Linked DNA regions of Callithrix jacchus. The protein of the gene in region 1 binds, or shares a complex with, the protein of each later gene. Links are inferred from orthologs where the notes say so. Each region holds a gene or a part of one and is shown on either strand. Other genes may lie near its edges.

Region 1 (3,824 bases):
ACCACCATTCTACATTTTACCTCTATGAATATGACTACTCATATAAGTGGAATCAGAGTATTTGTTCTTTGTGAGTGGCTTATTTTAGTTAGTGTAATAGCCTTAAGGTTCATCTTTATTGTAGCATGTATCAGAATTTTCTTCTTCTTTTTTTTTTTTTTTTTTTTTAAATATAGAGATGGGCTTTCACCATGTTGGCCAGGCTGGTCTCAAACTCCTGACCTCAGATGATCCGCCCACCTCGGCCTCCCAAAGTGCTGAGATGACAGGCATGAGCCACCGCACCTAGCCAATTTTCTTCCTATTGAAGGCTGAATTGTACTCCATTGTTTGGATAATACTGCATTTTTTTATTTATCCATTCACCCACTGATGGACACTTGGTTTGCTTCTGCCTCTTGGCTATTATTAATAATTCTGCTATGGTGTAGGTGTACAAATATCTAAGTCCCTGCATTTGATTTTTTTGGTTATATACCTAGAAGTGAATTTTCAGGATCATATGGTAATTCTGTGTTTTACTGCTTTTTAAAAAATAGCCATCCTGATTTGATAGTTCTAATTGGTTTTATGAATCTGTTATTTTAAAAATTAGATGTTATTGAGCTTCAGATTTCAACTCTTTAAGCAACTTATTCTTTGTAAGTCAAATGACAGAATTGTTTTGCTTTAGAGTAAGTAGAAGTTTAAATAAGAACCATTTTGGTTAAGGCGTTGGAAATGGGACAGGTAGGGAGAAAGGCTGTATTTTACATGTATCATATATACATAAGATCATAGGCATAATTGGACCTACTACCAAGTTCAAATGTTATTTTGATTAAATTACTTGTAGCTAAACAAAATGGCGTTCATGTCTTCTTATAGGTAAACTTCCATTTAGTAAATCTTGATTAAAGGGGGTAATATTATTGTAATATCTATTGCATTATACTCTTGTTTTTCTGGAAATTCTAATATTCTAACCAATAAAGTATAGGACACTGTATTTAATATTTTTAGCTTACTATCTAAAGACCAATCTGACTGATAAATAAAAGTTTAAAAAATATTTTAGAAATCTGTTGCTATTAAGTAAACGAAAGGCCATTTGAAGATGATGTCTTAAGTATGTTTTTCTTTTCTCCTGTAGAGTACGTCAGTTTATAGAAATGGTGAATGGTACAGATAGTGAGGTACGATGTTTGGGAGGCCGAAGTCCAAAGTCTCAAGACAGTTATCCTGTTAGTCCTCGACCTTTTAGTAGTCCAAGTATGAGCCCCAGCCATGGAATGAATATCCACAATTTAGCATCAGGCAAAGGAAGTACTGCACATTTTTCTGGTGAGATTTTATCTAATGACATTATTTTGAGATTTTTCCTCTTTATAATCTTGAAACTTTTTCCTTTTTAAAATCTGTATGTTTCTTTTGTAGCTGTTGCAAATGTGTATACTTAAGATTTTCAAAGTGAAAAATTGTAGGTTCAGATTTACATGTTCTCAGTACCAGGAAGTAACTTGAACAGTTGTTTCTGAGAGTAGGTTATTAGCAGACCTTCATAAATGAAAGTCAGCATTCAAAATGAGTAGTCATTGAAATTATATTATTGATATTTAATAGTGTGAAAAGGTAATTGTGTGTTTTAATAAAATATAAATTTAAAGGCAATCCGGCTGTGATATCTGATTACCACACCTAGCTGGGCTGCCCCTGCCTCCCTACCCTCAACCTTTCCCAACCAAGCCTCTTGCAAAAGTCAGCTCTGCCTAGTTCATTTTCTCCCATCCATTTTTTGGCTCACCAGTCTTACTGTCTGTGACTTTGGCTGTTCTCTTAATTAAACCTCTTCCCCTTTCTTGACTTTTGTCACAGGTTTTGTGGTTTTGTTTTTGTTTTTTCTTTAAAGAGAAGGAGTCTGGCAATGTTTCTAAGGCTGGTCTCAAACTCCTGCCCTCAAGTGCTCCTCCTGCCTCAGCCTGCCAAATTGCTGAGCTTATAGGTGTGAGCCACCATGCCCAGCAACAGATTTATTTGTGATGCTTCGCAGTCTTCTGTTTACCCAGCTCTTTAATTCTGCATTTCCCAAGATGTTATCATTGTACATTTAACATTCTTAAACTAGTCAGATAGTGTTGCTTTTCCTTTCATGAAGTAACACCATTGCTTTTTCTCACTTCAGTTTATCCTCTTTTCTGCATTACTTCCTCTCAGTTTATTTACATCTCTATTCTGTACCACAAGTATGATTCTCATGTCTGTTCTTAGGCACTCCTCTTGAATATCATACAGTCACTTCAGGCTTGGACAAATTCTGAGCCTCAGTGTATTCATATGTAAAGTTGGGGTAATGATCATATTGCCATTTTAGGGGGATTGTGAGGATTAAATGAAATCTGTAATTAAGCCTTCAATAAATGCTAGATGAAGTAATAATTAAGATCTCCCAATTAAGTATTCTTAGTATCCTTTCAAAGAAATTACCTGTTTACTATTTACATCATCCATTGACTTGCCTACGTTCTAGAAGTCTTAAATACAAAATGAACGTGGAGACTTATTTACAACCTCATTAATAAATTAGTGTTTGTTTCTGTTTCCATGTGGTATCTTTTTCTCAGGTTTTGAAAGCTGTAGTAATGGTGTAATATCAAATAAAGCACATCAATCATATTGCCATAGTAATAAACACCAGTCATCCAATTTGAATGTACCAGAACTGAACAGTATAAATATGTCAAGATCACAGCAAGTTAATAACTTCACCAGGTAAGTAATTTCACTAATTTTTGCATTAATATAAGCAACCTAGTTATAAGTGTAATCATTGTAATAATTTTGAAAGAACTTGAATTACATGACCCACAAAGGGGCTCTGGGAGTTCTTAAGCCCTCAGAAAATAAAAGGGGAAGGAGTCAGTTCCTCAAAGGTTTTTAGTCTCCTACTATGCGAATGAGCTCTTTCCTTAGTTTCTTCCTCTTCTCGACTACGCTTTTCCCTCTAGTAACGTTTTAAGGACAAATTCAGGACTCCATGCATTGTCTTCCTGCCAGCCACAGAGCTAATACAGATGATCACATAAATGCCATTTGTTAGGTTTTCACAGTACTTAAGACACAGTAGTATATTTAACCTCGAATGGTAACATAAGATAAATTTACAACTAATTTTTTTCTCTCCGTGTGTTTTTTTGGTGTAAATGTGTAGAATGTTTTTTAAGTTCAGAACAACTAACTTTGCAAAGAATCATTTTTGAAAGCCTGTCTTTAAGTAGCTTACATATAGCAGATGTCTAAGTCATTTAGTAAACAATGTGAGGATAGTTTTGAGGATTTGTTGGGGACCAAACATTATGCCAGGTAGGGTATCTGATTTCAAAGAGCTTTGCAAGAAGATATATCTCAGTCAGTGTCCTATGACCCTTGACATACTCACGTTTAATATTTATGAAACCTAAAAGTTCATGAAGTGAAATTTTTTGAATTGAATACTACTGTGCAGAAGCAAATTCTTGTGAATTCACCCTGCCCAAATCATCCAGAACTGAGTTAATTTAATATTGGTTTGGGCTCTAACAAATCGGTTGGTTACACTGCATTTTCAGGAAATGGCCATCATCAGTGTAACATTTTCTTCTTAAAGGAGAGAGAACCTAAATTTTAGCATGGAATCTTAATGGAAATATGATTTTGGAGAAAGGAGTCTATGTTAAAAAAATCTGTATTTGAAAATTTGGAGAGTAATCAAAATTTCTGGGTTATGTCACACACGACAAAAATTACTGAAGTGATGGTATGTGTGATTGATACAACTTATAATGGAGAACCACAAAAGTGTATGAGAA
Region 2 (3,824 bases), on another chromosome or scaffold:
AATGAGAGGATCTCTTCATTTTCCAAATAAGAAAACTGAAGAAAGAAGAAACTCCCTTACCTGAGGAGCTGCACAAGGGCTTTATAGATTCCCTCTAGGCTCTATCTCTACAAACTGCACTTCTGCTCTAGATTCAGAGCAGTAGCATTTCTAGATTTCTAGTTTGAATATAAGATCTGGCAGCACATGGCATTTGATTGAGAGTCTTCATATTTTGGAGACCCAACAGGAAGTGGTAGATGATGTGGACTCTGATGATGCTGTTTCTACAGAGACCACTTGTGGACAACTTTCAGATGTACACTTTTGATAAACCCTGAGAATATGATAGTTCTTTTTTTCAAAACCTCTTCTAGATTTTTTTCCAGATGTTTCTTTCTTTAATTAGCAGATGAGATAAACAAATGACCATTGAATTAATATAAACTCAACCAATCATGTTTTTATTATGTGGACTGCACAGCCTTTTTTGGTCACATTGAGCCTTGATTAAATTTTTTTAGTCTTTTTGTTTATTAAGTTCCTTCTTTTTAGATTGTTGTACTTGCTTCAGCAAGAAACCTCAACCACAGAGCTGAAAACTGAATGTGCAGTGGTGTTGGGAAGTCTTGCTATGGGTACTGAAAACAATGTCAAGTCTCTACTGGACTGCCATATTATCCCTGCCTTATTGCAAGGTATGTAGGGAAGCCATTTTTTGCTCAAGTAAAGATAAGAATCAGTTTACAGTACTTTAAATACTGGTTGAGAGGATTAGTCCTAAATTTAGTTTCTGTTAATAGGACTACTGTCCCCAGACCTGAAGTTTATTGAAGCTTGTCTCCGATGCCTGCGCACCATTTTCACCAGTCCTGTCACTCCAGAGGAGCTACTGTATACAGTGAGTTTTAGATGTATTTGAGATATTAGTTGCATTTCACTAACAGCCTACTCCTAATTTGCTTGGCATCTTTAGACTCATCATAACTATGTTGTATAAAAAAGCCTCAGCTGGGCATGGTGGCTCACACCTGTAATCTCGGTGCTTTGGGAGGCTGAGGTGGGAGCATTGCTCGAGGCCAGGAGTTCAAGACCAACCAGAGTGATGTAACAAGACTCCATCTCTAATGAAAAAAATAAAAATAAAAATAAATTAGCCTGGTGCAATGGTGCATGCCTATAGTCCTAGCTACTCATGAGACTGCAGTGGAAGGATTGCTTGAGTCTAGGAGTTTGAGGTTATAGTAAGCTATGAGGTGCCACTGCACCTCAGCCTGTGTGACAGAGCAAGATCCTGTAACTTAAAACAAAAAAATAATAAAAGTCTCTGCCAGGTGTGGTGGTTCACGCCTGTAATCCTAGGAGTTCGTGAGGTCAAGGCGGATATAGTACCTGAGGCCAGGAGTTAAGACCAGACTGGCCAACACGGTGAAACTCCGTCTCCATTAAAACTACAAAAATTAACTGTACATGGTGGCACATAGCTGCAACCCCAGCTTCTTGGGAGGCTGAGCCATGAAAATCACTTGAACCCAGGAGACAGACATTGCAGTGATTGGAGATCACCACCCCACTCCAGCCTGGGTGACAGTACAGACTCTGACTCTAATAAATAAAGTCTCAAAAACTGTTTGAGTTCTTGCCTCACTATACATGTGAATTTGTGTGTGTGTGTGTGTGTATGTAGGTATGTATGTATATGTGAAAGAATCCTGAGACAAGTTTCTTGACATAGTTCCACAGATGAAATGCCCTCTGGTTTCTGTGTTGTCATTTTTCATTCTTCAAAAAAATGGTGATTGTGATTATCTGAGCCAACATAACAAATTATGTTGTTAAATTGTGCACACAGGAGTCAGAGATCTTACCCAGAATTAGGCTTTTTAAGTATTTCAAGACTAGAAGTAATAAAGAGGCATAGGCAAAGCAAGCATAGAGAAGAGACATGTCACATGGCTCCCTAGCCTGTCCTTTCTACATCAGACACATACTCCGCTGGCCCTTAATGATACATAAGGTGGTCGGTAGATGAGATTTATGGGTTACCTCACATAGGGAGCACCTAAATTATGAAAATTCTTTTATTTTATTTATTTTTGATAGGGAGCTTTGCTCTGTCACCCATGATGGAGTGCAGTGGCTCAGTCTTGACTCACTGAAACCTCTGCCTACCAGGTTCAGGTGATTCTCCTGCCTCAGCCTCCTGGGTAGCTGGGATTACAGGTGCATGCCACCATGCCCGGCTAATTTTTTTTGTATTTTTAGTAGAGACGAGGTTTCACCATGTTGGCCAGCCTGGTCCTGAACCCCTGACCTCATGATCCGCCTGCCTTGGCCTCCCAAACTGCTAGGATTGCAGGTGTGAGCTGCTGCACGTGGCCTAACATCTTTATTTTATACCTCATAGTTTTATGTGAGATTCTTCAGGGAGTCATACCTCATATATCTATAGATTGTTTACTGCAGTGGTTCTCAGATTTGAGGTTGCACTAGAATTACGTGGAGGGCTTGTCAAACAGGGATTGCTAAACCCCACCTCCGGTTTCTGATCCAGTGAGTTTTGGGTGTGGCCTGAGAATTTGCATTTCTAACAAATTTCCAGGTTCTCTCTTTAAGAGTTACTACTTTACTGTAGACATCCTGCTTAAAGCTTTCCATAGAGGACTTAGTAAATATCAGTTTATTTTCCTGTAGTTCATATGGTAATGTTTGCAGAGATTAAGCCAGTCACCTGTCTTATTTACCCTGGAAGTTTCTCACCTACCCTCAATCCCATAATAAGGGGAGAAGTTGATCCTGGCCAACTACTTTAACTCCTCCCACCTCACTCTCTAAACTGATTTTTGTCCTACTAATGGATCATGGTGCACAATTTGGAAAATTCTGGTCTATGCCAACTGTTTTACATGAGAAAAATTGAGACCCAGGGAGGTTAAATTTAGATAGAATATCTAAATTATGAATCATCTCAATTTTGTGCCTCAGATATTTTATACCTCAGAGACAGTGGAGAATTTGTAAAGAGTTGGATTGGGGAATAACTAGCAGCAGTGTTTCAGTGTATTAATTGACTTCTATGAGTTGGGGTGTATAAAAGCCAGCTGTTTGAGCAACTCAGGCTGTAGAATAGAGATGGGGTAGGTAGTCCAGTAAGAAGATGGCAGGATTTCTAGTTTGAAATTGTGTTTATTAGGTGGGTGATTTTGGGTAAATTTTGTATTCAATAATTGTTCTTTGCCTTATTTAATCATCTGTAAACTGTAGATATATAGACACAATTAACAGAAAGGGGGCAGATATGAAAAAATGGGATGGGGGCTATTGTAACTGAGGGAAATTGAGGAATGCAAGAACATTAGAGGAAAAGAAGGAGGTGGAAATAGCTTTAGGAGCCTAATAGAGACTTTTTAATCTACTTCTCTACCTTTTCTATCTTAGCTGCTATGTACTTCACCATTCTTTGCTCAAAGTAGAGTCTGTAGGCCAATGGCATCAGCCTCATTTGGAAGCTGACTCTTAGGATCCTACCCCAGACCTACAGTATCAAAGTACATTAAGAACATCTCCTGGGAATTTGCATGCACATTCCTTCTTGGGAAGCATAGCTCTTGTGATGTCATTGACTGGGAAGCTTGAGCTAAGTCTTCTTTCTTATCTGCGGTTCTAGCCAGATAACCTTTCAACTTTTAATTTCTTCGGCATTCTTTTTTTTCTTTTTTTTTTTTGAGACAGAGTCTTGCTCTGTTGCCAGGCTGGAGTACAGTGGCATGATCTTGGCTCACTGCAACCTCCACCTTCCAGGTTGAAGCTAGTACCCTGCCTCAGCCTCCTGAGTAGCTGACACT

What was found.
Region 2: the proteins of RANBP9 (region 1) and ARMC8 are in contact, whole or in part, in a cryo-EM structure (PDB 7NSC), measured with the Homo sapiens proteins. The link is inferred for Callithrix jacchus from reciprocal best matches to the Homo sapiens genes RANBP9 and ARMC8. Residues at the interface, in NP_005484.2 of Homo sapiens: Tyr271, Gly298, His299, Ser300, Leu301, Gly302, Ile303, Asp337, Asp340, Tyr341, Arg343, Glu344, Thr347; in NP_001350870.1 of Homo sapiens: Gln245, Arg246, Asp247, Val277, Leu278, Lys279, Ile317, Ile320, Thr321, Asp322, His323.

Annotation. Positions count from the first base shown.
Region 1 is NC_133505.1:17,034,604-17,038,427, forward strand, and holds part of RANBP9 (ran-binding protein 9), read left to right. Parts: intron 1-1,132; coding exon 1,133-1,323; intron 1,324-2,600; coding exon 2,601-2,748; intron 2,749-3,824. UniProt on the Homo sapiens protein: May act as scaffolding protein, and as adapter protein to couple membrane receptors to intracellular signaling pathways. Acts as a mediator of cell spreading and actin cytoskeleton rearrangement.
Region 2 is NC_133518.1:46,106,030-46,109,853, reverse strand, and holds part of ARMC8 (armadillo repeat-containing protein 8), read left to right. Parts: intron 1-534; coding exon 535-677; intron 678-782; coding exon 783-880; intron 881-3,824. UniProt on the Homo sapiens protein: Component of the CTLH E3 ubiquitin-protein ligase complex that selectively accepts ubiquitin from UBE2H and mediates ubiquitination and subsequent proteasomal degradation of the transcription factor HBP1.